7 linked regions of the Oryzias latipes genome follow. The protein of the gene in region 5 binds, or shares a complex with, the protein of the main gene of each other region. Links are inferred from orthologs where the notes say so. Each region holds a gene or a part of one and is shown on either strand. Other genes may lie near its edges.

The links.
Region 1: kat14 (region 5) and tada2a share a complex: the UniProt entries of both Homo sapiens proteins name them as parts of the ADA2A-containing complex. The link is inferred for Oryzias latipes from reciprocal best matches to the Homo sapiens genes KAT14 and TADA2A.
Region 2: kat14 (region 5) and sgf29 share a complex: the UniProt entries of both Homo sapiens proteins name them as parts of the ADA2A-containing complex. The link is inferred for Oryzias latipes from reciprocal best matches to the Homo sapiens genes KAT14 and SGF29.
Region 3: kat14 (region 5) and kat2a share a complex: the UniProt entries of both Homo sapiens proteins name them as parts of the ADA2A-containing complex. The link is inferred for Oryzias latipes from reciprocal best matches to the Homo sapiens genes KAT14 and KAT2A.
Region 4: kat14 (region 5) and yeats2 share a complex: the UniProt entries of both Homo sapiens proteins name them as parts of the ADA2A-containing complex. The link is inferred for Oryzias latipes from reciprocal best matches to the Homo sapiens genes KAT14 and YEATS2.
Region 6: kat14 (region 5) and tada3 share a complex: the UniProt entries of both Homo sapiens proteins name them as parts of the ADA2A-containing complex. The link is inferred for Oryzias latipes from reciprocal best matches to the Homo sapiens genes KAT14 and TADA3.
Region 7: kat14 (region 5) and dr1 share a complex: the UniProt entries of both Homo sapiens proteins name them as parts of the ADA2A-containing complex. The link is inferred for Oryzias latipes from reciprocal best matches to the Homo sapiens genes KAT14 and DR1.

The regions. Positions count from the first base shown.
Region 1 is NC_019871.2:10,132,969-10,137,256, forward strand, and holds the start of tada2a (transcriptional adapter 2-alpha), read left to right. Parts: upstream 1-1,488; 5' UTR 1,489-1,589; coding exon 1,590-1,614; intron 1,615-2,004; coding exon 2,005-2,111; intron 2,112-3,632; coding exon 3,633-3,692; intron 3,693-3,773; coding exon 3,774-3,865; intron 3,866-4,288. UniProt on the Homo sapiens protein: Component of the ATAC complex, a complex with histone acetyltransferase activity on histones H3 and H4. Required for the function of some acidic activation domains, which activate transcription from a distant site. Binds double-stranded DNA.
Region 2 is NC_019866.2:658,581-662,754, forward strand, and holds the end of sgf29 (SAGA-associated factor 29), read left to right. Parts: intron 1-37; coding exon 38-102; intron 103-769; coding exon 770-899; intron 900-1,008; coding exon 1,009-1,155; intron 1,156-1,246; coding exon 1,247-1,282; intron 1,283-1,357; coding exon 1,358-1,520; intron 1,521-3,250; coding exon 3,251-3,367; 3' UTR 3,368-3,674; downstream 3,675-4,174. Other genes in the region: nfatc2ip (NFATC2-interacting protein), read left to right, coding at 3,989-4,000. UniProt on the Homo sapiens protein: Chromatin reader component of some histone acetyltransferase (HAT) SAGA-type complexes like the TFTC-HAT, ATAC or STAGA complexes.
Region 3 is NC_019866.2:6,157,278-6,161,466, forward strand, and holds the start of kat2a (histone acetyltransferase KAT2A), read right to left. Parts: upstream 2,801-4,189; 5' UTR 2,767-2,800; coding exon 2,497-2,766; intron 2,255-2,496; coding exon 2,131-2,254; intron 202-2,130; coding exon 56-201; intron 1-55. UniProt on the Homo sapiens protein: Protein lysine acyltransferase that can act as a acetyltransferase, glutaryltransferase, succinyltransferase or malonyltransferase, depending on the context.
Region 4 is NC_019875.2:23,341,641-23,345,140, forward strand, and holds part of yeats2 (YEATS domain-containing protein 2), read right to left. Parts: intron 2,183-3,500; coding exon 2,071-2,182; intron 1,885-2,070; coding exon 1,840-1,884; intron 1,756-1,839; coding exon 1,587-1,755; intron 1,250-1,586; coding exon 1,001-1,249; intron 346-1,000; coding exon 181-345; intron 1-180. UniProt on the Homo sapiens protein: Chromatin reader component of the ATAC complex, a complex with histone acetyltransferase activity on histones H3 and H4. YEATS2 specifically recognizes and binds histone H3 crotonylated at 'Lys-27' (H3K27cr).
Region 5 is NC_019859.2:448,648-451,357, forward strand, and holds the end of kat14 (cysteine-rich protein 2-binding protein), read right to left. Parts: coding exon 2,587-2,710; intron 2,511-2,586; coding exon 2,335-2,510; intron 2,266-2,334; coding exon 2,075-2,265; intron 1,335-2,074; coding exon 1,161-1,334; 3' UTR 501-1,160; downstream 1-500. UniProt on the Homo sapiens protein: Component of the ATAC complex, a complex with histone acetyltransferase activity on histones H3 and H4. May function as a scaffold for the ATAC complex to promote ATAC complex stability. Has also weak histone acetyltransferase activity toward histone H4.
Region 6 is NC_019863.2:25,385,741-25,389,849, reverse strand, and holds the start of tada3 (transcriptional adapter 3), read right to left. Parts: upstream 2,801-4,109; 5' UTR 2,386-2,800; intron 2,349-2,385; exon of another isoform or gene 2,203-2,348; intron 2,125-2,202; 5' UTR 2,045-2,124; coding exon 1,835-2,044; intron 1,761-1,834; coding exon 1,513-1,760; intron 1,377-1,512; coding exon 1,271-1,376; intron 1-1,270. Other genes in the region: actin-related protein 2/3 complex subunit 4, read left to right, coding at 3,026-3,028, 3,565-3,683, 3,964-4,075. UniProt on the Homo sapiens protein: Functions as a component of the PCAF complex. The PCAF complex is capable of efficiently acetylating histones in a nucleosomal context. The PCAF complex could be considered as the human version of the yeast SAGA complex.
Region 7 is NC_019862.2:24,028,850-24,032,875, forward strand, and holds the start of dr1 (protein Dr1), read right to left. Parts: upstream 2,801-4,026; 5' UTR 2,183-2,800; coding exon 1,963-2,182; intron 1,793-1,962; coding exon 1,629-1,792; intron 402-1,628; coding exon 255-401; 3' UTR 1-254. UniProt on the Homo sapiens protein: The association of the DR1/DRAP1 heterodimer with TBP results in a functional repression of both activated and basal transcription of class II genes.

The sequences.
Region 1 (4,288 bases), on a different chromosome or scaffold from region 5:
GAAACAAACAGTTGATAGAAGGGCTCTTCTGCTGAGATAGTCCTGAAAAGTTGTGGCCTTTATAGCCACGTTTGATCACACACTTGTGGGCATGTGGTGTGAATGCTGCAGCCAGGAACAAAAAAGGAAGCTCACTCTGGCTCAACACACAACAGCAAACCGTTACACAAAAAGGAGAAGTCTCTCCTCATAGGTGAATAAATCATGACCCTCTCAAAGGATGATTACAAGCTAGTATGACGGTGAGCTGGAAATTCCTCCAAAAGAGTAAGAGTGTGCGTGCATCTCCTTAACATACACAGACTATCGTTAAAAACCGTGTCTCTCCCTAGAGGCTCCAGAGATGAGTCGCAGGCTAGGATGCTACCGAACAGACCAATCAGGATGTATTGAACTCACAGAGAAGGCTCAAGCAAGCTGGAACAGAGCAGCCCATTCAGAGTTAACCCATCATGTGGTTTAGGAAGCTGCCCTCATCCTCTGTGGGGATTTGCAGTCTAAATATATTTGCTCTGAATCACCTCAAAGAAAGAAGGAATCAGATTTTCTGGTATCAATGACAGAAATGCAAATATTAGAATAAAAACTGTCATAATTAGTAACTGCAGAGAGGTTAAGAGGTTTCATGAAAATCAAACAGTCCTTTTTCCAGCCACATCTGTACTAAATCAGTCATTTCACTCAAATACTTATTTTTTCTACCTTTAAGTGAGTTTGGCACATGTGGATTTGCAGTTTTATGCATTAGGGTTTCAGATATTTGTTTTCCTAAGGCTCCTCATGGGCCCTCACTGGCATGCTCTTGAGGGTGTTTGAGCTGTTTTTGAATTGGGGGTGCCAAACCTGGACACAGGCACTGGAAAACATTGGTACTCATAAATATTTGCTGGTTTTCATATTAAAGAAAATGTCTTGAAGCCTTTTGCAGGCCAGGCAGCACCTCTGCAAAAAGTTTATGGAGGACAAAAAGCAGCATGGGGGTGTTGTGACACAGAACATTCATCATCTTTATTTCTATTTCTCACATGATGCTTATGCAAGCCTCAGGTAATCATCTGTGCTGGGAGGGAGACAAAGGCTTTCAGGGTGCTCATTGTTGCCTTAAGAGACATAGAGCAAGATCAGCACCTTGTGGCAATATAGGGAAGTACTGTCGTCATGGTGATGAGATGGAGAAACTAAAAACAAGTTAAAATCTCTCCCCATTGCAAAATAAATGTAAAACAAAAATCTTAAGAGAAGGAAAAGAAAGTTAAAGATGAAATACCTTTTTATAAAAATCATTTTGCATTAAAATGCAATATTCCATGTGGCTTTTTTATATATTTCATACATTTTTTTAAACAACATTTGTTTTCTGTTCAAATTTTTGAGTTTCTTCTGCCTTTGTAAGAACCTATGAGGACATGGCACACAACTATTAAAACATAATAGTATATATATCATTTTGTGTGGTGATACACGACCAAAACTATCGATATTCGGAGCTCGATTAGTTATGACGTCATCAGGCACATAGCCGAGTTCTGAAAAACAGATCGACCCAAATTCAATTTTGGTGTTGTTATTGAGAAGCAAATAGCAATTAAATGGACCGAATAGCGTCTTTTTCAGGTACGTATTGGCATTATTATACACACAGTTGAATTTATTGCAGTTTTACCAAGTATCCATCGACTTTTTGGAAGGTTAGCTGTTTTTGTCCATAAAGCAAGGTCTGCTAAGCTATCTTTAGCATTAGCATCGCCGTCAAAAACAATGCTATTTTTGTTTGCCGCAGTGATTTGTTGAAAATATTCGACCTGTTGTTGAGACATTCAACATTATCATCATTTTCAAGCTCGACTAGTAAAGCTAGTCCTTCGCCCAAGATAACATCTGTTTTGTGCATTCAAGTTTGCCCCAAAATCACGACTTTAGGCTATATGTATCTTTTTTAACTGCGTGTTGTTACTATTAAAACTGTTACTGATAATATATATATAATTATTCTGTTCATTTTAGATGACCCCTTTGATAAACCGCCTTGCAGAGGCTGCTCATCCCATCTAACCGAACCATACATCAAGTGCGCAGAATGTGGACCTTCACCTTTTTTGTTGTGTCTTCAGGTAAGCCAGATGAGGATGCTTATAATTTGTTTGTTTTGGCTCTTTAGAATGTGTGTTTGAACACAAACCGAATAACTCAGCTGTAACTTTACGCAGACAGACCACAGTTTAAACACTTTGGACAAAACCTTACGATTTTTTTTTTTAGCCCAGTATTTCCTTGTTGTTGTTGCAAAACTTCTTGGCAATAAATGTTAGACTTCTGCAAAATTAGTTTGCTTTATATTTTAAATGAGTCCATATTTGTGAGGAACGCGCATTTGTGCAATGAGCAGCAGAAGGTATGCAAGGTTTTCCAAATAGCCAAACTGCTTTTATTTCTGTAGCCATTGATTGACCCTTATTTTTGGAACTTCTGGAGGTTTCCACATCAGTGCCCGCCCAGCACTGATCGCCTTCCACAGATTTCTAACTACTATACCTGATTTGAGAAAAAAAATTCAAATGAAAGAACATGATGCCATCCCACGGCAGTGTATAATAAAGAGGTGTCAGGGTGTTCCGTCCAGTTCTTTCATGTTCCACTGATTATCCTGTTTCTTAACAATTGTTTTATTTATTTTTTACATTGCCAATACCATATATCTTCCAATAGTGGCTGGTCTTCAATTAATGTCAGGGCTATTATTGGAGGATATACGGTAAGTCTTACATCCATTATTAAATAATATATTTATTGCCTTAGAAACATTATTACATTTGAGAAAAAATCATGTAGCACAAATTAAAATACTTTTGCACTCTGAATTTTGAATTTGTTCAAATAGCATTAGATCGTATTGCTAAACCAAATAATGTTTTGTATGTATGTTCTTTATTATGAGTGTTAAGTGTTACATTTTCTAGGGTTTTCTATTGTTACAAATATTCTATGATAGATACAATTTTATTAAAAATTAAAATAATTGACATATTTAATTTTGTATCTATAAAATATATCAACTATATATTAATAAGTACAGTTTTTAAATATAGTATTACATTCTGTAGTAAAAGGGTATTAAAAGTACATTACAATGTTGTTGATCACATTTCTAAATGTGTTTCTTAAAAAGTGACGCTTTATTATAGTTTTATAGCACACTGATATTATGAAATCTTTTAAAATTATTTAAAAGGATGAAGTCAAATTGTGTCTAACCTGGTTTAATACTGTGCTTTCTCACACACCTGTGTTGAATACAAATTCTTTTGTTAGTTACTTCCAAAAATGCACTTGTTTTTTCTTTCTAGATTAGAACTTTGTTATTTTGCAAAATGATTTCCTTCACTGTTAAATTAATGGGGAAATAAATGACCAGATCTTTACGATTGGGTTTATTTGAAAAATAAGCCACATTATAACTGCTGCTTCTTTCATGGTCGTCATATCGATACAATTTATGAATTCACTTAATTTGCATGTAAGTTTTACTTTTCTCAGTTAAGAAAACCTCCTCAGTGCATTCAAAGAACTTTTATTTAATGAACAAATCGTGTCTTTTACCTGACCAGCTTTACCCTGAACTTATTTCGTTCCAGTGTTTTACCAGAGGATTTGAATACAAGAAGCATCAGAGTGATCACAGATATGAAATCATGGTGAGTGGAGCTGCAGTTGAGTTTCTCGGGTGTAGCTAAACATCATGTTTAGCGGGCATCTTTTGTGTTACCTCGACTCAGACTTCAGACTTCCCGGTGCTGGAGCCTGGATGGACGGCGCAGGAGGAGATGGCTCTGCTGGAGGCAGTCATGGATTGCGGGTTTGGGAACTGGTAAGAGGTCGAAGACATTTTACCAGTGTTTTCTTTTTGAATACACTTATTTTTACTAACTTCAAAAAGCAAGTTTTTAATGTTTTATCATTTAGCTATTTATCATTGGTGTCATGTTAGTTTCATTGTCTTTTGGTTTCAAAATGTGACAATTTTTACAAGTCATTTCTGCTGTTTAATGGAAATCTCACATTAATTATTTAAAAAAGAAGATTGGTGAAAATATTATTTAACAGTGGTTATATTGTTTTTTAATTTAAGTGTAATTTAGTTACTGCCTCGAAGTTTGGGGAAAAGCATATTCTGTCCATATATATAAAGCCTTTGTTTCATTTACAGAAAAAAGCAATTAGTATAATCAACAAAAAGGCAGCAGAGAATTCACTAATAATTTAATTGATTTTTTAAAAACTTTATTATTCA
Region 2 (4,174 bases), on a different chromosome or scaffold from region 5:
GCTCCCTCTCATCCGCCTCTCGTTGATTTTCTGGCAGCATCCTGCGTCACGCTCTGGACAAGATCGCAGAAATCAAGTCCCTGCAGGAGGAGCGGAGGATCGGTGCGTACAGCAGCAGCAGCAGCAGCAGCTACAGCAGCAGCAGCAGCTACAGCAGCAGCAGCAGCTACAGCAGCAGCTACAGCAGCAGCAGCTACAGCAGCAGCAGCTACAGCAGCAGCAGCTACAGCAACAGCAGCTACAGCAGCAGCAGCTACAGCAGCAGCAGCTACAGGCAGCAGCTACAGCAGCAGCAGCTACAGCAGCAGCAGCAGCTACAGCAGCAGCAGCTACAGCAGCAGCAGCTACAGCAGCAGCAGCTACAGCAGCAGCAGCAGCAGCTACAGGCAGCAGCTACAGCAGCAGCTACAGCAGCAGCAGCAGCAGCTACAGCAGCAGCTACAGGCAGCAGCTACAGCAGCAGCAGCTACAGCTACAGCAGCAGCAGCTACAGCAGCAGCTACAGGCAGCAGCTACAGCAGCAGCTACAGCAGCTACAGCAGCAGCTACAGCAGCAGCTACAGCAGCAGCAGCAGCAGCTACAGCAGCAGCTACAGGCAGCAGCTACAGCAGCAGCAGCTACAGCTACAGCAGCAGCAGCTACAGCAGCAGCTACAGCAGCAGCTACAGCAGCAGCTACAGCAGCAGCAGCAGCAGCAGCTACAGGCAGCAGCAGTGAGCTCCTGCTCCTCCGTCTCCTCTGGTTTCTAAAGAAATCTGTCTTTTCCAGCCGCGAAGTCTGCCAGGGTTCAGAGTGACAACGACCCCCCCAGGAAGACGATGCGGCGCGGCGTGCTCATGACCCTCCTGCAGCAGTCGGCCATGACGCTACCACTGTGGATCGGGAAACCCGGAGAGAGGTGTCCGTGTTCCTCTGAGGAAGGACAGAACCCAGCTTGTTTTCAATGGTGTTCTGCTGCATGACTGACATCTCTGCCCCCCCCCCCCCCCCCCCCCCGTGACCCGCAGCCCCCCTCCTCTATGCGGGGCCATCCCGGCCAGCAGCGACTACGTGGCCAAGCAGGGCGACAAGGTGGCGGCCAGAGTGAAGGTGGTGGACGGCGACGAGCAGTGGATCCTGGCTGAGGTGGTCAGCTACAGCCACTCCACCAACAAGTGAGGCGCAGACGCGCAGCCACGTGCACACCCACATGCAGGCCCACGTGCACGCCCACGTGCCGGCTCTGACCTGTGTTCTCTGCTGCAGGTACGAGGTGGATGACATCGACGAAGAGGGCAAAGAGTGAGTTCTCCTCTGTTTCTGGGTGGGTTCTGGGTTCTGGAGCAGATCTCTGAATGTTCTGTTTGGAACCGTCAGGAGACACACCCTGAGCCGGCGCCGGATCATCCCCCTCCCTCAGTGGAAGGCCAACCCGGAGACGGACCCCGAGGCTCTGTTCAGCAAGGACCAGCTGGTTCTGGCTCTGTACCCGCAGACCACCTGCTTCTACCGCGCTCTGATCCACACGCCGCCGCACCGGGTGAGCCGCCGCCCCCCCCCACCTCCACGTGCTGGAACGTTCAACCAGAACCCTCAGCTTCAGTAAGGTTCACATGTCTGTGAAAAAACGGGAAAAGGGAGTTTATAACCATCTTAATTTACAGCACCTGTCTGACTCCGCCCCTTAACTGTTAGCCTCCCCAGAGAGGCGTGGCCTAAACTCCAGCAGGTATGTAACCCGAGGTGTGGGTTCTGGGGGGTGTTCCAGATAGCAGGTTCTGCTAGCTCCCACGGTAAGTTTGAGGCTAAGGAAGTTGATAACCTCAGCTTTCAGTTCCAGAAATGGAGGTATGTTTCAGGGTAGGTCAAGTTGCCATAGCAACTCATGCTCTGAACATAACCTGGTCTGGAGCAGGTTTAGTTGAAGGTTAGTTTGTTTTCAGAGAGGTGAAGCAGCATGGCGTGTCCATTTGAAGATGATTTAGTGGATGAAAAAGCTCAGATAATACTTTTTCAACCATGAGAGGATGATAAGACCACATATGGATGTTGGAAAGATAAACTTTTTACTTTGATCTAACTTCATTATTTGCTTCAGTTAAGATAAATCATTTTTTTAAGTCAGTTTTAAAATAACACGTAGTTATCAGACAGTTATTTTACTTTCATTCAAATTAATTCAATTAAGTAGGTGTAACTTTGGTGCTGCTGTTAGATCGGCACCACAAGGGATTGTGGGATATCATTCCCTTTGCCTGTCTGGACGGATTTGGGTTTAAGTGTGGGTTTTTGACCAAATGTGTTTAGTTGTGTAGCTGTTTTACTGTGTTTTACCGAGTTATTTTGTCCTACTATGCTTACGTCTCTGCACCATGAGTGAGAGGGAGGAAGAGGATGATGAGTTTATAGAGCAGCCCTACGGTTAACTAGAATACTGACAATGTTGGAAAATTCCTAAATGAATGAACGCACTCTTTTGTTCTTTCTATTGTTATTAAAATGAGGATCTGCCGGCTCAAACTTAGACATTTGAGAGTTCAAGAATTATAATTCATTACGATGGAAAAAAAATTACTTGAATTGGAGTAATATGACATTTAGTTAGATAAATATGTAAATTTGAGCTGTAAAAACAACTATTGAGTTTTATAGACGTAAGAAATTAGATTGAATAAATTTAACTCAATTACTTGTTACCAATAGAAGTAATTCATTTACGTTGGCAAAATTGGATAAGTTATATATATATATATATATATATATATATATATATATATATATATATATATATATATATATATATATATATATATATGAATATATGCATCACATGAAAATAGAAATAAGATCAGAAACTTGTGCGTTTACTTTGTTCTTTTTCTCCAAGCAGAAACTCTTTCTTTTGCTGATGATGCAGCCGTGTTACTTTTTGATGGACGTATAATCTTCATAGCCGTCATTACAATCTCAGACTCCGTCTCACTGAAGCGCTCTCTCTTTTTTTCTCCACGCGTTTCCATGGTGACTCCAGAAATCTGTGATCCATTGAGAATGTCTTTATGTACCTGCTGTGCACGTGCATTAACCCAGGGTTACCAAGTGGAGCGTAATTATGCTAACTCATATCTGGTCTTTGGGAACCGACATACCCAGAGTAAGCAAGTTCAGGCGGATTTCAGCCAGAGTTCAGGGTTAAAGTCAGGCTAGTTTAAACATGCTTCCTGGAATAGCCCCCTGGTCCGTGACTGTCCCTGCTGTGTTTGTGTGCAGCCTCAGGACGACTACTCGGTTCTGTTCGAGGACACGTCGTACGCCGACGGTTACTCTCCTCCGCTGAATGTGGCGCAGCGCTACGTGGTCGCCTGCAAGGAGAACAAGAAGAAATGAGCGGCGCCGGCATCAAACGTGGTGGGACAACCTGAACCAAAAAAGAGGCTTCCAGCGCCACCTGTGCTCCAGAAGAGGAACTGCTCATTGTGGTTCCAAACAGAACCGGGTTGATCCTGACCCGGGTCACTGTAAACGTTTCCCTTAAGAGCACACAGGACAGTCAGAAAAAGTACTTTTGAAAGATCAAAGTAAGTCGCCTGAACAAAACAAACTGTGGTTAACGTGAAGCTGGAAGTTGAATCATGCCGTCATTTTTTTTTAGAACAAAACAAATCCAGATTAATAAAAAGATTTGCTTCTCTAATATTGTTGGCATTGAGTTTTTACATTATTTATTTTTTACATATTTCAGTGTTTTTGAACTAAATTCAGTTTGTTTTAATGTAGTCATATTCTATACTATTATAAAATCAAATCAATGTAAGAAAAATAAAATAAAACATGTCTGTGACACATCGGATATCAACGATGTTATTTGATTATTTTTTAACACAATGATTAGTTTATTTATGATGTGCGGCCGCTGAGTGACAAAGGCAACGCGACAATAACAGAAATGATGCTAAATCTTAAATATCCGAGGGTCCTTGAAAGCAACAGAGAGGCGCGAAAAGAGCCATGGCGGAAACGGTGAGTGGCGGCTATCCTCCGTGATTCCTGTAGTGAAACCGGTCTCCGTGGGGGCTGGTCGTGGCTGACGGGTGTTGTTGAGTGAACGAACTATAAACTTCAAGTGAAGTTTGGGACGCGGAGCCACAGGATCGTCGGATTTCTTGAATATTGGATTACGCAGGCTTTTCACAA
Region 3 (4,189 bases), on a different chromosome or scaffold from region 5:
TTCCACCCAAACGCTCAAAAAAAACACCCCAAAACCCATAGAACCATAACGCTACCTTGAAGAGGTAAAAGTACACTTGTTTGGTATCAGTGTCCTCCTCTTTGTGCACAGACATGAACAGGTTCTCCACGTCAACCACCATGCCCAGCAGCCTGTTGATCTCCTCCTCAGACACATTCTCCAGATGAGACACGTGCTCCGCTGCAAAACAATTACCGTACAGTCAATGCATATGTTCTACTGGGATCTCTTTATATTTTCAAAATTGTACTGAAGTTTGGGGAAACGTAGAAATCTGTAAATACTGCAAAAAAGAGCTATCAGAACAATTGACGTACTAGTTTTTAAAGAGATTCTTCTCTTTCAAAAACAGTTCAACTTAGAGCAACATTGTAAAAGTATTTTAAAAAGATGTGTGCAGCTAATACATTCTCATCACCACATGTGGCTCTTATTCCCCTTCATTGTGGCTCTTTGGCTAAAGTAAAAAAAAATTCATTTGAAAAAGTAACTTTATAGTAAAAAAATAATAATTAAGTAGTAACTTAAAGAAAAGTAAAATAGACAACCTCAAACTCTTTTCAAACAGGCCAAAGACAGTACGTAACACAAGTCAAACTAAAACATTAACTAAAAACTGAAACACGTTGAGCGCCGATAACCACAGAAAATCAATCGGAGGTCACCAAGCACAACCAGAATTTAGAAGCACTGGATTATAAAGCAGATTTTTTAATTCTTTTAAAACAATTCTTATTGATTTTAAGTGTACGGTACCTTGTGGTTTGAAATATACAATAAGGGTTACTTATTTAGCTCTTATTTAAATTTAGTTTGTTCGATTTACTCTTTTCTGGCTGAGATGGACCCCCAATGGTAAAACAAAGTGTGTGACATTACACTACCAATAAAAACATTAGCTGCTTTGAGAGGATCCTTTGTCTAAGGTGTCCTTTATTGAAAGGAAGTCATATGAATCTCGGCCAAAAGTTATACACCATTTCTCATTTTTCTTAAAAACAAACCCAGATATTTTCTCTTTGTTTATGCATAAAAACAACATTATATATATGCTGCTGTCTAAGTATGTAGCCAACAAGGGGGCCCAAGTTTGGGTCCCCCTGTGCCGGTCCCCAGCCCAGATAAAAATACAGGGTTGTGTCAGGACGGGCATCAGGTGTAAAAACGTGAAAGTTGATTCAATGTGGCGACGCCTGAAGGGCTATGTTGAAAAGTGAACAACAGCAACAATAACAAAAATACCAACTAATGTCTTATTTTTTAAAAGGCTAAAGTAAGACTTTGTAGCTCCTACTGGGTTGTTGTTGGTTAGAAATCCACCAAAAGTGTTAAAAGGTTGCAGACCTCTAGACTACACTATATATATATACGTTTTATCTTCAAACTTGGAAAAACAACTATACATGCATGAATATTGCACCAGAATAATACTGACTGTAAACATGACGCACAATATTAACCGCAATGTTCATTCTTAAAAACCAATTCCAGTAAAAATCTTGTTTTTGGTGTTTTTAACATCTTCTTGTAGCGTTTTTTCTCGTAATGGAGGACATAGATAAAGGAAATTAAGATTTAAACTGAGTTTCTGAGTATTTCTTCATTCAAATTGTGGTAAATCAGGAGCAGACGAAAACATGCCGTTGGAGAAAGCTTGTAATTGCTGCTGTAAGGAGAGCGCGGACACAAAGGGATGATGGGAAATGCGAGCAGGCTCAGTCCGTGCCAACAGTTCCACCCAAAACTCAGGTGGGTTTCTAATGCACGAACACGGCTCTTCAGAAACGATGTCCTAGAAACCCAAACGTTTTTTGATTTAGGCAAAATCTGCCTTATCATAATTACATCAAAAGATAATTGGAATGAGACTTTAAAGTCGCAGTTTCTGCACAAATTTTGCCATTAATCCCAAAGCCAGAGGAGGAACAACTAGTTTATTTTCTGACTATCACAGTAATGATGGGCATGTTTGCAAAGGGCAAACCGTGTATCTTGTGCAGAATCTGTAGTGTCGTCCCTCAGACGCATTAAACAGTGTGATGAGCCCTTCAGCGGTACTGATCTCCTGTTCTTAGTCAGTGGTTTAAATGGAGGCTGAATAGTTGGTACCCAGAGCATGTCCACAGCTGCGGCAGGGCTCGCTCAGGCTGGCTGCTTGCTGCTGCAGATCCAGACGGGTGGCTGACGGTGGGTTTGGGTTCTTCCATCCGTTGCATTTGCATGTGTCATTGGCCTGAGGACGCGAAGCACAAACAGTGAACGGCTATTCAGCGGCCGCAATGACTAACGGATCAATTACGCTAGCTGATGGGTTTGGCTACAGATTTGTGAATATAAATTATTTTTACAACAGTCGATGGAGGGGAATTAGTTGACGTTGCTCCACTTCTACTTTGTGCTCTAAACATATATTTATAAACGCTAATAAATCTCAAGACGGCTCTGTTGTGAACTTTGGCTAGCTACATTAGCTACCTTGCATGCGGAGAACACGCCAAGTTTCTCCAGCTTTTTCGCCCGTGGGAAAGCTCGAACTTGGGCTTTCTTCTGGCTAGCGCGCTGTTGCTGGCTGAGTCCTGGCCTAGCCGGGTCGCTATTGCCCGACCCGGAGCCTGTTGCAGCATTACCGGACCCAGCTGACCCAGCGGACTGGGTCTGTGGAAGCCGGGGTTGTGAGGCCTGCGCTGCCGGGTCCGACATATCCACGCTGCTGCTGGAGACTTCCTCTGTTGCCGTTGATCTCATCTGGTGCCTTCAGGTTCCGGGCAGAAAGCTGGATTTTACAAACACCAAAAGCTAAAAATTCAAATAAAAAATGTACACAGCATTAAAAGCATATTGTTTTAATCGTGAGTGAATAAAAACCTAAAATAAAATATTTACTATTTGAAAGGATCATTTGGCTATTTCTGGAAATTTTAAATGTACAGGTTCCCAGTACTGTAGTAAAGCGGTGTAGTGTCCTCTAGTGGAAAAACATGAAAGCAACACGTAACAAATGTTAGGCTCTATGTCAAGCTGTTCTAGAATGAAATCGGCATCCTTGTTTTAAGCCCAACTAGTAATGCCAAAAGTACAATTATTTAAAACGAAATGCCATAAATGTGAACTAGTTAACTAGTAATGTTTAGAAATATGTACTAGTTTACTAGTGGGCAATACTTGTGCTTACTGGTTGGTTAGTGACAATCTAAAAAGTCAACTGGTTAACTAGCTGCATACACATTTTCTACAGCTCCACTAGTAAGGCTCTTGTAAAGCTCACTAGTTAACTAGTGTGACCAAAATGTTTACTCCCAAACTCTGATCAATTTTTCCATTCCACATTATATATATATATGCACACACACACAAAAGGACAGACCCAGTTAACTGTAATGCAGAAGCTGTTTTTCTGGAGTACCTCTGCTATGGTCCACCTAGTGACCGTTTTAGGTATTGCAACTATGCATACCTCAATGAAGACTTTCAAAATTAAACACAATTATTTATGGAACTATATTGTTTCTTTATGTCTCAAAGAAACAGCTTTTCTCTCATTAAATGTGCAACTTTAAGACAAAATACATATTTTAACAGCAACAACTGTAAAGTGAGACAGTTATAAACAAAAAATGTTTTAAAATGTGGATTTATGCATGTAAAGATTATCAAAATTGTATAAGAAACCAGTCTATTATGAAATGTTTGACACTGGAAGTACTATACCTCATGTCAAAGCAATAACCGACAGGTTATCAGGTAACCTGTAAAGATGTGTGAAATTGTTTTAGGGTTTTAGGGTGGAAAAAATGAGTAGAAACATTTCCAAGCCTCTGAATTTCATTTTAAATTCAAAGATTTTTAAGCTATTTTCAACAAAATCATACATGAAAAGATGTCTACCCTCATTTATTCATGAAAGTAGAATCGTTTTTCCCACAATCCCTCCCTTTCAAGATGCAACGGCTGCTATTTTCCATGGTTGATGCCATATTAGGATGGATGACCCCCCTCCACCACCACCCTCAAAAAAAGTTTAAAAGCTGATGCCTCACTGATGTGAAAATTAAGAACAAAAAAAATGTGGTGAACGCTGGAGAACATCTCAATTCATAAAGATGATGAGACAAAACCAGTGCATTTAATACCAGAGATCTCCAGAAAGAAAAAGAAAAAAGGAAAAAAA
Region 4 (3,500 bases), on a different chromosome or scaffold from region 5:
TTAAAGAGAAGAACAGACAAGAGGCTTTGGGTGCAGAGATGTGCAGAAAAAAAATCTTCCAGATTTGATCATTTGCTGTACTTTCCATTCTCTGTAGCCATTAAACGTTTTCAAGGGCATCTTAGAGGTTTGCTTTTAAACTCTGTGGAGCATCGGCAGCACTGACAAAAAGATTTGTACCTGTGGGCCCAGCAGACGAGGAAGTCATGCCGATCATTTGGCCAGGTTTGTCTACTATGATATAAGGGTTGTTGAGCACAGAGGAGCCATCCTTGGTGTGAGCGGGGGTGGAGGCGATGGGTGTGCGAGGCAGGGGAGAGTGGCTTGGGGTGGAGATGGGGGAGCCTATAGATGAGAAGATGTACCAGTAAACAGATACAGAGTAAATCTTTTGGTGTTTTATATGTCAAAGATATTGGAGGAATTGAAATGGAAGAGAACTTGAGGGCTAAGATAGTCTAAAGAACATCAACTGTTAATCACACCAATTTCATGAAATATTTTAAGCTTTTAACACCTCTAAATTTGACTGTTCTTTTTCATGGGGTGCTTTTTTTTGGCAGCTCATCTAGGACTTCATTACTGGACCTCCTCATCAGATGTCTCCTTTAGCTCTTAAGGGGGTAGGCTTTCCCAAGAGAACACTCCTAACCATAATCAGTCCATTCTGGAGCCCTACGTGTCTAAACTGCATCATGACCCGATACCAGACAGTTGGTATTTTGGGTACCCAACATTTATGATCTCAGATGAGGGTTAGAACATAAAAGACAAAAAAAGGTTATATATTCAATTTATTAATGACAAAAAAAATCACTTTTCTTAAGAAAAGTGTCTTTTCACTTAATTGTTGTTTGTAATTTGGTGGTAAATTTATCAAATAAATGCTTTATTACATGTGAAACACTGACATAATGAAATATTTTATTTTAGTGACTAAGCTCAACTTCTGAATAGGGCAGATATAGCTGCTATAAAAAAAACTGATGGAGACACTTGCCTGAAACTATTTTACAGCTCATGGTGATGGGTTGGAACAGTTTCCCAGGAGATTCAGCGGGACTGGGTGGCTGTCCTTGAGGGACTATCTTACAGCTGGCTGTGATTGGTTGGAAGGCAGAGTTGCCATGGGAACCCAAAGTAACCCTGTCACCAGTTTTGGGACGTGTTGGAGTGCGCTCACCAGCAGCAAGAGAAAGACCTGAACTAAGAGCAACTGCAGCACTTCCCACTTCTGCTTTAATCAAACCTGGAGACAGGAGGAGAGACTGCTTTAAAACTTTGTTTCTACCTCGTCTAAAGTCGGCACAAAGCAGTTGGCATAATGTTATCTAGATCATCATATCTTTCACAATAAAGACTTTCATCTAGGATAGACTGGGGATAATGAAAATGCACGTAAGGTGCATCAAAACAAACAGACATAGATGGTGGATCAACCTGAAACTGCATTGTCAAAAATCCACCCATAGGACTTTTAAGTCGCCTCTCTAGCAGTTCTGATTTACCCCATAAGGCTAAAATCCTTCAATGCGATCCATTTTCATGGTCATGTTCCAAAGCTATTTTTGTGTCTGTTTTTGTACCTTTGTCTACACTGCCGTCATGGGAGATGGGGGAAGCAGATCGTCCGCGACTCTGGGCAAAGCTGGAGGCTGACAAAGGACTGGCTGTTCCTTGCGTCACCTTGGAGGAAGACGACTGAAAGTAGTAATCTTCCCCAAGAGAGTCTCTGTGGAGCTCCACATCAACCACCTGGAATAGGAATAGCGGTGTGTGACTGCAAAAGCCTGAGCGGAGAAGTCAAAACAGGAAATGTTGCAGGAATCCAGGACTTACAGTTTCTGCCCCAAGGGTCTGAAGTCCAGTGTACGTTCTGTCCAGCTGCGAAAAACCCCAAGAAAAGGTCAACAATAAACAGGTGCTGACTTATTCTCTTAGCTACAAATGTAAATATGCCAATAAGTCAGAATGACTTATTGGCATAGTTGCAAGACCAACTATCTGGTTGCCTGGAGGAGACTTGGTCAAACTGGATATGGAAGGTGGAAGTATTTGATGAGATCTGACCTTAAGCTGGTGAATGATGTCAATACGTTTGTTGCGAGGGTCTTTGAAGTGGATCTGGATCCTGACAGGAAACTCCCCCCAGCCACGACGCGTTAAATGAAAGGGGGACTCACTGAGAAAAGAGATGTGCTTACAGTCATTCCAAGAAAAATCGAATTGAATCCCAATTAATGCTTTTAGTGTAAGGGATTCATCTAACACAAACAAACACAAGTTAGTTAAAGTCCCACTCTGATCATCTTATGTTCTATTTTTTAAATCGTTCTCGGTGGTCTTTTATTTATGATTAAGCTGAGTTGTTTTCTAAGGCATAGTTTCTGCAGAGCGGCAGTAGTTCATTAGAAATTCCCCTCACCTAACATTACTGGCGAGCAATTTAGAAGCTATTCAGCCGTACAGTTTTGAGGCAGATGCCAAATAGGGAAAGGAAGACTTACGAGGATCTAGTCGTTTACAAGTGGATGCATCAGAATGAAGTGGAGAAGGGAGCCCCGTGTTTTCTACTTAAAAAATAAGGTCTATTACAAAAGGCATTTTTTCGTTTGCTCCCGATTCACAACAACTTGAATACAGAAATCCTCAGAAATGTAATTTTAAGTTTAAAAGTTCTTTTAATATGTCCTCAATCCTCAGAAAAATGCCACAAGAATGTTAAAAACACAATTTCGAGATGGCATTTAACTACAGAAACAAGATGTATGTTAGAATTTCCAAAGTCTTTTAAGGCTTGTTTCCTTTACTTTGACACATCCGCTCATCTACATTTATGCCGTGTTCAGTCAGACTCAGCCGGTGAGTCAGTCAGTCATGAGAGGCTCATGAACGGCTGTAGCAGCAGTGTGAGTGCATCTTCAGCTCAAAGAGTTGCCAAACTTGAGATATCTACATTAAAATTGCAACCGTTTTGTTGATTCATAAAAAACAGGTAATTTGAGCGAAGGCAATGTAAACAACAACTAATTTAAACATGTGAGAGTCATGTTGAGGATAACGTTTGAAATGCAAAATGAGCAGCATTTCCTCCTAATCGATGGCCTCATTAAGCCTCAATTGAGACCCGAGTTTCTTTTGAAATTAGGCTGCATGAGCTGCAAGATCAAACAATGCACAAGGGGGCGGTATTTACTAAATTATATTTTTCGCTACATTTTTCCACACAAACTGATAAATCACATGTCAGGAGGTGATGAAGAGTTTGATATGCCTTTTAATTTGTGCAAGAGGTTTGTGGAAGGAGGAAATGCAAACCACTGACTCAGAGTCTTCCTGTGACAGGGGAGTAAATATTGATAAAAAATACTGAAACAAAGCATGGAATCATATCACCGCTGCCTTTCTTGCAGTTATTGTTGCCTCGGGTGATCAGAGAGAAGCTTACCCTGATTTTGTAAAAATACTACCTATGTTAGAAAAACATGAACCACAAGGGC
Region 5 (2,710 bases):
CCCCCCTGCTTTCAGATGGAAGGCCAGCGTGAGGCAGAGGAACGCTGTGGGGGAGACGCCTTACGATGTGGCGGCGAGCTCCGGCGGCGGCGACATGGCGTCTCTGCTGGCAGCTCAAACTGGACCAGACTTGCTGGGACGGTCACGCCTGAGCGCCGATGTCTTCCAACCTTTAGGGCGGGGCCAGGGGTTTGCCGTCTGACAGACTGCACCTCCTCTGGGACATTGAGTGGGAGGAGTCTGATGTCTGAGCATGCTCAGTGCTGTGATGGTGACCAACATTTTCCTTGGTGGGGGAGGAGAGTCTTGAAGCGTTCAGCTTTATTTACAATAAAAATGTTTCTACTCAGAGTTCATGTCTTTGAGGGCGACTCTGGCCCTCTGACCCCCCCTCTACTAATGCAGTGCCCTGCCCTGGATGTAAAAAGCAATGCAGACGCCACGCTCACTGCACGCCATTGATTTCACGAAATGAAAATCTAACCATTGAGCGTTTGGAGTCTATTTCTGATCCGCCGTCTCCTGAAGACAAAAACGACGTTTATTTAAAAAAAGACATTAAATACATTTTTGTGGCAAAAAATAATTCCGATGCAATGCATTGTGGTCTATATTCACTGATGTAGTGAGGATGGACGCACACTGGTTTTCTGCAGAGACTTCTGGGAAATTTTTAGGGTTCTGGATTTTGGAAGCGTAGATCCAGACGAACTAGAAGATGGAGAACCTTCAATAGTTAGGGAAACAATTCAGACAGAACCTTTAGAACCCCCCCCCCCCAGTTCATGTCATCATGGGGGGTGGGGGTAGAGGTCACGGGCCCCAGTCACCGGGGACTTGGAGCCATCCTTGGGACCAGGTGGGTCTGTCAACTGAGGCCAAGACCCCCATGGACTTGGAGTGACCCCCCAAGTCTGTGAAACAGTTTCCTTCTGTTTTCCATGAAGGTGGGGCTGTGACCCCCCCCCCAAACAAAGGACAAATTCCTGCTCCAGCTTTCTCCTATCTGCTCAAACTGTTGCCACAGTGACATAGCCCAGTGCATCATGGGTAATGCAGTCTGTGGTCAGGAAAGCCTGAATGAAACTTTTATTGGATCTGGAAAACAGGATCACGTGGAAGTCGGAGGTGACGGACCAAACTGGATCAGCAGCCGGGCGTCAGCGCCGCAGGCGCAGGAAGAAGGCGTGGCGGCACTCGGCGCTGTCCACGGGGTAGAACTTGTCGTAGAAGTCCAGGATGTACTCCTCGGCCTTGAAGCCGAACTTCTGGTAAAGCAGCATGGCGGGGTTACTGGCCGACACGTGCAGCGTCACGTCCTTCCCCATGCACGTCTGAAACGGCACGGACACAGCGTCAGCCACGCCAGACGCCACTGGAATCACGCTTAACCTGGCCAACCCTGGCCCTCAAGGGCCCCAACCCTGCCAGGTCTCCAGCTCTGCACCCGGACTACCGAAAGCAGGTGCATTCAGCCAATCAGCAGAAAGATGGTGGAGGGGGGGCTGGAGACCAGGCTGGCTCTGGAGACCAGGGCTGGCCGGGCCTGCCTGGAAAGGTGGAAGTTATCTGCCCACACCGGTACTTTCCAAAGTTTCTGGATGGTTATGACTTTTTATACCTCAGGGGGCGTGGTTTAAATTAGCAAGTGGGTGGAGCCAGCAGCAGAGCTTTGACGGTGTGGGATTTTTGATCACCGCGCTGATGAAGCAGCAGGAGTCGCGGTGCTTCGAATCAGAACGCAGCAAATGTAATAACAGACACATAACAGTAACAACAACTAAACAACTGTTCAGGTAACCGTTAACAACCAAAGTGCCGCTGAAATGCTGCTGCTGCTGCTTTTATTATCCGTCTTCATGTTGCTCTTCATTCAAATCAGACTCAGTAATAAATCCCCCATAATGCTTAAGGACTGGATGGGGGTGGGGTTACCATCACACCCCTATCCAGCACAGAGGAGGAGCTGAGATGCTAAAAGGTTCTGATGTAAACTGAAGAACCAGAGGAGGACAAAGCTTTGGACCCAACCGAACAAAAGCTGGACGTCAGAGCCCCGCCCACCCCCACCCACCTGGATGAGGTGGTAGATCATGAAGGTCCCGATGCCGGCCCTCCTCCACTCAGGATGCACCAGCAGGAAGGAGATGTAGGCCTCATTGTACTTGACGTCCGGAACCATGAACCCAAAGCCCACCACCACCTTCTTGTAGAGGACCACCACGCTGAAGTCCGGGTACTGCAGGCACTCGGACAGGTCCACTCCTGGGGGAGGAGCCAGCCAGATTAGAAGAGTGGGGGCAGCAGGCCAAAGGCTGGAAGGAGATACTCCACCTGGCCAGAAGCCGTGGTGACACATGGCGTTGACGGAGGGGATGTGGTTGGGACGGACGTAGCAGTAGTCGATGGGGGCGTCGGCTTCAGGGACCCAGGCCGGGTCCTTCCTGTGGGGGTACGCTCTGATTTCAGCCAACAACCGCAGCTTCAGAGGGCGGCTCTCATAGTCCCTCCTGCAGACCAGAGACAGAACCTTAGACCCTGACCGCCCACGGCCACCGGGGCGGGGCGGGCCGGGGCGGGGGGTACCTGATGTACGGCTTCAGCACGCGGGACGTGTACGGACTCTTGATGCTCTGCTCCAGACCGCCTTCAGCGCCCATCAGCCGATGCCAGAAGGACACAGAGTGTAACGGGACGCCTCTTCTGCCGG
Region 6 (4,109 bases), on a different chromosome or scaffold from region 5:
AATTTAAAAAAAGATATGTTTTTTAGCTGGTTTTCAAAGTCTGCAGATCTGAGGCTGAGAGGAAGGGAGTTCCAAGAGGGATGGAGCCACCGCTGCAAAGGCTTTGTCACCTTTAGTTTTTAACCGGGTTCTCTTAACAACCAGCAGACCCTGGTCACATGATCTCAGGGACCAGCTGGGAGTGTACGGCTGCACAAGGTCTTTTACATAGTCTGGTTTTTTAAATGATAAAAAAAAATATCTTAATTTAGCATCTACATGAAAGCAAAAACATAAGTGAATTATTTTTTCATCACTGGAAAAATATTCAGGCGTCGTGAGGTTAAATGGTGACATCAAACGTTACCTTTAGGGTTGTTTAACGTGAATTAAAAAATTATTCAGAACCAAGGAGGGATGAGAACTGATTAGCAATTATTCAGTGATTTAAAAAAATTTTATATTTAACATCACAAGAAAGTATTTGCATAATATGTATTTACTTGTTGTTATATAGACGCATCATTAAAGCTCGTTTTAGAACCGTTTTCCTGTGATATATACCGGTACATTTCTTACATGTAGTCTAATAATAATAAAAGGAGTAGCTAGTAAGGCAATTACCTTATTTAAAAAGGTGGAGAGAAAAAAGTTCCCAACATTAAGTTATGCACAGGAATAAATTACTTCAATGAATAAAAATAGGCTCATAACAAGACAAACTAATGGGTCAAGCTTTGCTTATATTTCTCTTGCTCTTATTAGAGCAAAAATGTTTTTATGTCTGACTAGATAAAAAACCCTACAATTTTTAAGACCATTAAATATTTCCAAGTTCATTTAGCTACAATGTTGTTTTGGTTAACTTGTACTGAAGTGATGAAAAAAGGGTTTTTGTGTAAATTGGTCTTAAGTTCAGTAAAGTGAATACTTTGTAAATGTTGAGTAGAAGTTTGATGAATTTGCATCTAAAAAAGTCACTCTGATCCTCTTTTGATCCATTTTCACAGCGTTCCCAGTGGTCTTTAAATGTACACAGACCCACAACTAATTATCTTTTTTATTTGGTGACGTTTTAAGTTTTCGATCTGGTTTTCAGGTCATACTGACAGAATTCGGACATGGCTTGTTTGCCAAGAACCAAATGAAGTCCTACCTAACTCTGTTAGGAAACAGAAGTATTTAGGGAAGAACATAGAACTTTAAGGGTTTCTTTTGAGGGAGAGGTGTGTATCGCTTTGAATCTAGAAGCCCCACTGCCTTAAGTGAACTAAAAGTTTTAAAATCATACTTTGAAATACTCAGCCTCGTCCTCTAAGGGCTTAAGAAGCTCTTCAAGCAGTCGTATTTCTTCATTGGTAATATCTGCACAATACGGTTCAACTGAAGCCCAGAATCTGGAAAAAAAAAAGTAAAAAGTAAACAGATTAAACATAAAAAGGGTTTTAATCCACCAAAACAAATAAACTAAACAGTGAAGCAAGGTTGAAGCCGAAAAAGATAAGTATGGTGTGAAAAGCGCCTCGTGCTGACCTGTTGGGAGCATCATTTTTGGGGGTGCACGGGATATCTTGTGGTTCATCTGTAAATTCATACTCTTGAACTTTCGGCTGCAGGTTTTTGGATTTGGGCCTTCCGGGACCAGGTCCTTGTCCATGTGCTCCTTTCCCATCCAGTTTTTGTTTCTTGGGCTTGTGGCGGGATGTGGCTGCAGGATCAGGGTCTTTTCCCATTTTAAGGAAGCGCTTGTCTCCCTTTTTGTCTTGCCAATCTGTGAGGATCTGGAAGGATGAAAGCGATGCGGTAAATCAAATGTTGCGTCCATCTGCTGCTGAATGGATGAGCGTCCACCTACCTGTCTCTGCTCCTCCAGGGCTCGCAGGCGGCGGCTGGCTGAAGACAGGAGCGTCTCCAGCTCCAGCTGCAGAGTATCAAGCTCCCCGCTGCCGATGCCATCGTCCTCTGAGCGGCCCAGCACGGCGGTGTAACGGGGACACAACCTGACATGATCCACGGGCTTGAAGTCGTAGTATTTCAGCGGGGAACAGTCCTTCAGCTCGCTCATGATGTTGATTGTTGGCAGGGAGCCGTTAGTCTGATGTAACTGACGCAAAATGATGAACAGCGGGGTAATTTACAGACCATCTGAAACGAACACACAGTTCATCCTGATCACGTTTGGCCATAATTAATTCATTAAAAACACAACACATAGATACGTACGCATCACACACGACACACTCGAGCGGGGCTGAACCAGCGGCCGGCCAGAATTGCCCCCAAATTACATTTTTAATTACACAGCGAACTGCTTAGAAATGGCTTATATAAACACAAACGTTTTTTTAACGCCACACACTTCAAGAACAGACGCGTAATTAATTTTTAAAGATCAACGATATTTACCGTCAGTGAAGGTGCCCATGATGGATTATACCATCGTGCAAGTGGGGGTGTTTTTTGTAGGCTTTTTTTTTAATATATCACCTTGAAGTGAACACAGTTGCTGTCTCAGCATTTGTATAGAATAATACATATAAAGAAAAGACATAATGCCAAAAAATATGGAAAATGGGTAAATGCATTTTACGAAATCTAGAAAACGCCCAAAGCTGCATCTGTGATGGTACTGTCGGAAGAAACCATTAGGTCAATCTGAATTTGTCAAGTAATAGCCACTATGTTTTCAACTTAAATGCTATTATATGAAACGAGTACAATTATGACTATAAAAATTTAATATTGAGGCAAAAAATTAAATAATGTGTAGATATTACAAGCCTAAATTGTCACTGAAGAAAAACGTCTCCCCCGTTGTACAGTGAAATTGAAGTCCGATTGGGTTTGCTCGGTTTCTTATAACGTGTTTTCTGGATGGGTGGAGCCACAAAGCAAAACTGCTAGATGAGTTGCGCACCGAGAAACTGTCGACCTCATCAAACGAAGACAAGAAAACAAACGCACCCTAGCGTTACTCTACTATGCAGGATTTACGGAAGAGCCGTCCCAGGCGTGGCAGAGGAACTTCCGTCTTTTACTGCTCAAAATGGTAAGTCTGATGCATAATATTTTCGCTTATATTTTACAATTTAGCTTTTTATTCCAAGCAACTATGGATATTATTAATGTGAGAAAAGCTAGCTAGCTTCTAGATCTTTATCCGGTGTTAGTGGTTCGATCTAGTTATCGGAGGGCAGGCATCCTTCATGTAGGTATGCAGAAACTAGACTAGAGTGACAGAAGACGTGAGCTGCCTTTTCCTGTTAGCCTCTTTTTCATTTAGGCTCTTTTTTGTCTGTTATGTCACCCGGCAATCTTTAAAAGATACAAAAAAAAGAAGAGATGATCACATTTTTTACTAAAATGTTGCTCTAGAAATCTCCCCAAATCCCATCCTCTGTTACAATAAACTAGAGAAAAGAAACATGCTAATGGCTTAATTCATTACTAATCACAATATTTGGTTGAAATGATAAAAAATGGCATGGAAATGTAATGTTCTAATTGGTGCTTATATCAGCCTTGATCCCTTAGTGTTTCAGTAAAGCAGGATTCCTTCACATACTGATCTTCTGCTCATTCCAGACAGCGACTCTGCGCCCCTACCTGAATGCTGTGAGGGCCACCCTGCAGGCCGCCCTCTGTTTGGAGAATTTCTCCTCTCAGGTGGTGGAGCGCCACAACAAGCCTGAGGTGGAGGTCAGGTATGTGTCACATCAGCAACTGCAAGCCTTTCTTTTTTTATATTGTTGTTGTTGCTTGCTGCTGTTGCATCTTTTCCGATTGTGGTTCGTCAGCTGCTTTCACACAAGTTCGGACCTGTGCGGACTTGTACTGGAAAATATTTGTGGGAAGGGGAAAAAAAGACATGGACGCACCAAATGTAGCTAGCTGCAGCTTGCCTGCAGATGTCCTCCTAACAAAGTGAGACAGAGCAGCTGGAGATTTGAAAGCTGAAGGGATCTGATGGCCATGTGTTTACAGGAGCAGCAAGGAGTTGCTGCTTCAACCGGTGGTGATCAGTCGTAACGACAAGGAGAAGGTGTTCATCGAAGGGTCCATCAACTCTGTCAGAGTCAGCATTGCTGTGAAGCAGGTCCTTAAAAAAATCTCTACAATATAATACGTTT
Region 7 (4,026 bases), on a different chromosome or scaffold from region 5:
AAAAAACCCAGGGGAATATAAATTTAATGAAAAACTTCGCAAACAGCCTTTCCATTTTTACCATTTTCCGGTAAAAACGCTTCTTTGAATGTGCATGTGGGGCCGTTTCTCCCCTCGCATCCCTTTCTTTAGCTTTCTAAATTTCAAGTACACAAACATGTTTTAAGTCCCTGTTCATGGCAAAACTGAGATTTGTGTACCAAAACTTTCCTAACGTTAAATTCAAACACAGTAAAGTGGGTCGCGGGGGGGGGTCACATTTCGTCCTCTTCGTCTTCATCCTGAGAAGAGCCCGCCTGCTGGGCAACGCTTGCAGATGCTGCTGCCATCTGTGCCTGCTGGGCAGCCTGCTGCATCTGCAGCCACTCCTGCTGTTCAAGCTCCGCCTGCTGCTGCCGCGCCTGCAGAAGACGCACATTCTATCATGAGTGCTTGACACAATGTGGCACTTCAGGTTTACCCATTCAAGCTCATGGCAACCTGCAGTGAGTCCGGCCGGTTACTGCAGAAATAATAGTTTTTGGTAATTTTTTAAATATATACCGTACATGTAACTTCTCAAAAAGGTTTATCTTGTGTTGTTGGATATTTATTAAATGAATATCAAATACAACGCAGCAAATCAAACAAAGCAATACATAGGAACAAAATGTTTTTTTTAAAGGAATGTGAACAAAATACATCTCTCTGACCTTAAAGACCCACTCAAATAAAAATCATGCTTTTGGTGTTTTTAACATGTTCTTGTAGCATTTTTCTAGCTTACAGCCCCTCAAACCCCCAACCTAACTTTACCAGTGCGACAAAAATGATAAGCAATATTGGATTTCCAGCTGTATAGCTGAGTCGGAAGCCTGTTAAGACGAGGAAAAAGACGTACATGGATGCATTTGTCTGCAAGAGGATGTATCAGAATGGAGCAGAGAGGGAAGCTTGTGGCCCGCCGATTGTAGCTTTTTCCACACAGCATTTTGTCGTTTGCTCCTGACTCAGAACTATTTGAATGAAGAAATGCTCAGAAATGTAATATGAAGCTTGTTTTTCTTATGATACGTCTTCCATCATCAGAAAAATGCCACAAGAAGATTTTAGAAAACACCAAAAACATGATATTTTATTTGAGTGGGTCTTTAAAGTAAAAAACCTTTAGCAAAAACACACCATGGCCTGTCAGTTAAAGCTGAAAGGGCCACATTAACTTACTTTGAATGAGCAGAGAGTGCTTTGTTTCAGGACAATCAGCATAACTCAAAGAGGAAGTTACATTCAGGTTGATTTAAATGTGTATGCCTATATGATATTTGAAATTGTTTTGTGTGTACATGTCTTCATTTCTACAATACTTGACAGGAAAAGATTTTTTTTCATCTTAAATACTTCCTCTATGAGCTTAGTTAAGTATTTTCTATTAAAACACCTAAATTTGTTTGCATCCAATCTTAAAGGGGATTGATATCCTTAAATGGAATGACCAGTTTAGAAACTTTTGAAAATGTTAACAAAACCAAGCCCTTCTGTACCTCAAATGAAAAGTACAAGTTGTGTGCCCGTGTTCATCATGATCTGTAGGTTAATATTATTGTGGGTGTTCAAGCCACATTTGAAGGTGCAGTTTTCTGAGATCAGACCTTGGCAAATAACTCCTGCTGCTGCCTCAAGAGTTCCTCCTCCGGAATGCCCAGGTTTTCCAGTCGAGAGCTGGCCTTCCTCCTCTTAAGAGCAACCGTTTTGCACTCCTGCAGCACGTCTTTCACCTCTGTGATGTACGAGCCGAAACCAAGGCTCTCGAGGGCTGTGGTGCAGAAACACGAGGTTGAAACTACACTTTCTATGATGTGAAGCTTGCAGGAGGATCCGTGCTCCTTTGCATCCCCCCCCCCCCCACACACACACACACACCCACCCACATAAAGGACGAGCGATATTTAAAGAGGTGGTAAATACATGTAAATGAGAACCAACCGTTAATGACATGCTCTGGAGATATGGTCTTCTTGTCGGATTTGTTACAGATCTCATTCGCCTCGGAGGAAATAAGATGGATGAACTCTGTGCAGCAATTGACCACAAGCTCCCTGGCATCGTTGGCCACCCGTACGTTAGGCAAAGTTTCTTTGATCATTTTGTTGATAGCTGCTCTCGGTATGGTGAGGTCGTCGTCATTTCCAGACGAGGAAGCCATAGTGATGAAAAAAGGGGGGAAAGGAACAGAATAGTGGAACTCCGCTTCTTCGAGAAGATTTATCACGCGTTCACTGTCTTCTCTATGTCCATGTTACAGTAGACAGATAACGGTTCAAGAAAATATCGATGGAAATGTTGCCAAGCGAGCTAGTCTAAGTTAGCCCACTGGCTAGCTTACCAACCAAATGTCAAACAATGAGCAGGTTCTGTTGCTTGAGCGGCGCTCCTATATCGTATTTAATCGGCGAATAAATGTCCAAGATTGCTCTGAAGCTTACAGTAAAAAAAGGGAGGGGGAAGAAAAATTATATCCTTATATCCGTCGTCCGTGGCGAAACTGAGACGCAGCACACAAGTCCAATGAAAGCGGAGAGCATGGCTAAGCTAAGCTAACAATTAAGCGCAGATGAAGCGGAGCTGTTTGCTTTACGAAGCGCAAGAATTATAGTCAGTTCTACTCGTAAATAATTGGAGTATTTATATGTAAGTCCTGAACTTGACCAAAATTTGATTGCAGATGTTTTGTTTAGGTTTATAATTTGGAGTTGTGTACTGTACAAACATTAGCTGAAATGTGTCCGGTTACGACGTCAGACAAAGGGCGTTTTTGATTGGCTCCGAGTGTGCGCTATAACAATTTCCGGTGCCCACCAGGATGGAGTCGGGTGGTACAACAAATGATTGGAAATTGTTCCGCAGGGAGCTACAGATGTAATTATCTTTTTTTTCTTTCGTTACAAAACCAAACTATTATCTCTGATTTTTCTAAGATTGCCTACTTTTGGAAATATATTTATTTTAAATGAAGAAAAAAAAAGTATGTATCTACAAATGCATTGTTTTTAGCAGTTGTAACATTAATATTAAGAATAATTTGATTCATATAATTTGTGGTTGCTGATATGATTCATAGTTAATTTTAGATCATAGTGAACCAGTAAATTTATTACGATTCACTGACCTTATTTTGATCCAGAACATCTTCAGCCAAATATTCAACCAATGTGGCTCAGAGATAAATACCTGGGTACTAACAGTGCAAGGTGAAGTTTTTCCACATTCCTTGTATTTCTTTCAAGATAATCAAGTGTAAATTAAATATGTGTACAAACAAGCCAGTAATCAAGTACCAATGTCAAATCCATTCACATTTTAGTTTCATAAAGTTTTGCCTACTGTTGTTTTTCCACATAAAAAATAATACAAATGGAACATTATCAGAACATTCTACCACACTGTTTGGTCACGTCTTTGCTAAATCAAAAGTGTTTTGCTGTCATCTCGTGTGTGTGTGTGTTGTCCACTGTGATGCACGTGGTCATTTTTAAGTTACAGTAAAATAAACCTACAATGCCTCAATCCAAATGGTATTTTTCAGTAAAGATTATAGTCAATTTAATTTTGAAATGATCTTATGGTATTTATCGATTTGATTAACAACTTGTCTCAGACTTTGATCTGGATAAATAAATTAATTAAGTGTTACATCCCTACTATTCTTTGTTTTATCTGACTTAGAGTTGCCCCGTTGCCATGTGTGAACATTTTGTTTTTAAGTTATATTTACACTTCCAAAAAGTGTAAATATACATTAAATCAAGTTCTACCTGTAGAACTTGATCTAATGTAATTTCTAAAGACAAACATTTCAAAATGCCAAACAGTAGTTTCTCTCACAATGATCTTTATTTAGTGGCATAGAAAAATTAATAAAGAAATAGAACTTCCTTTGAAATTATGATAAATATTGTTGTTAGTGTTAGTTAATTCGTTTAAATAATAATTTTGGATTTTTTAACAGAAGCTAGCCAGCTTATTGAGAGCAACAGAAAAATATAACTG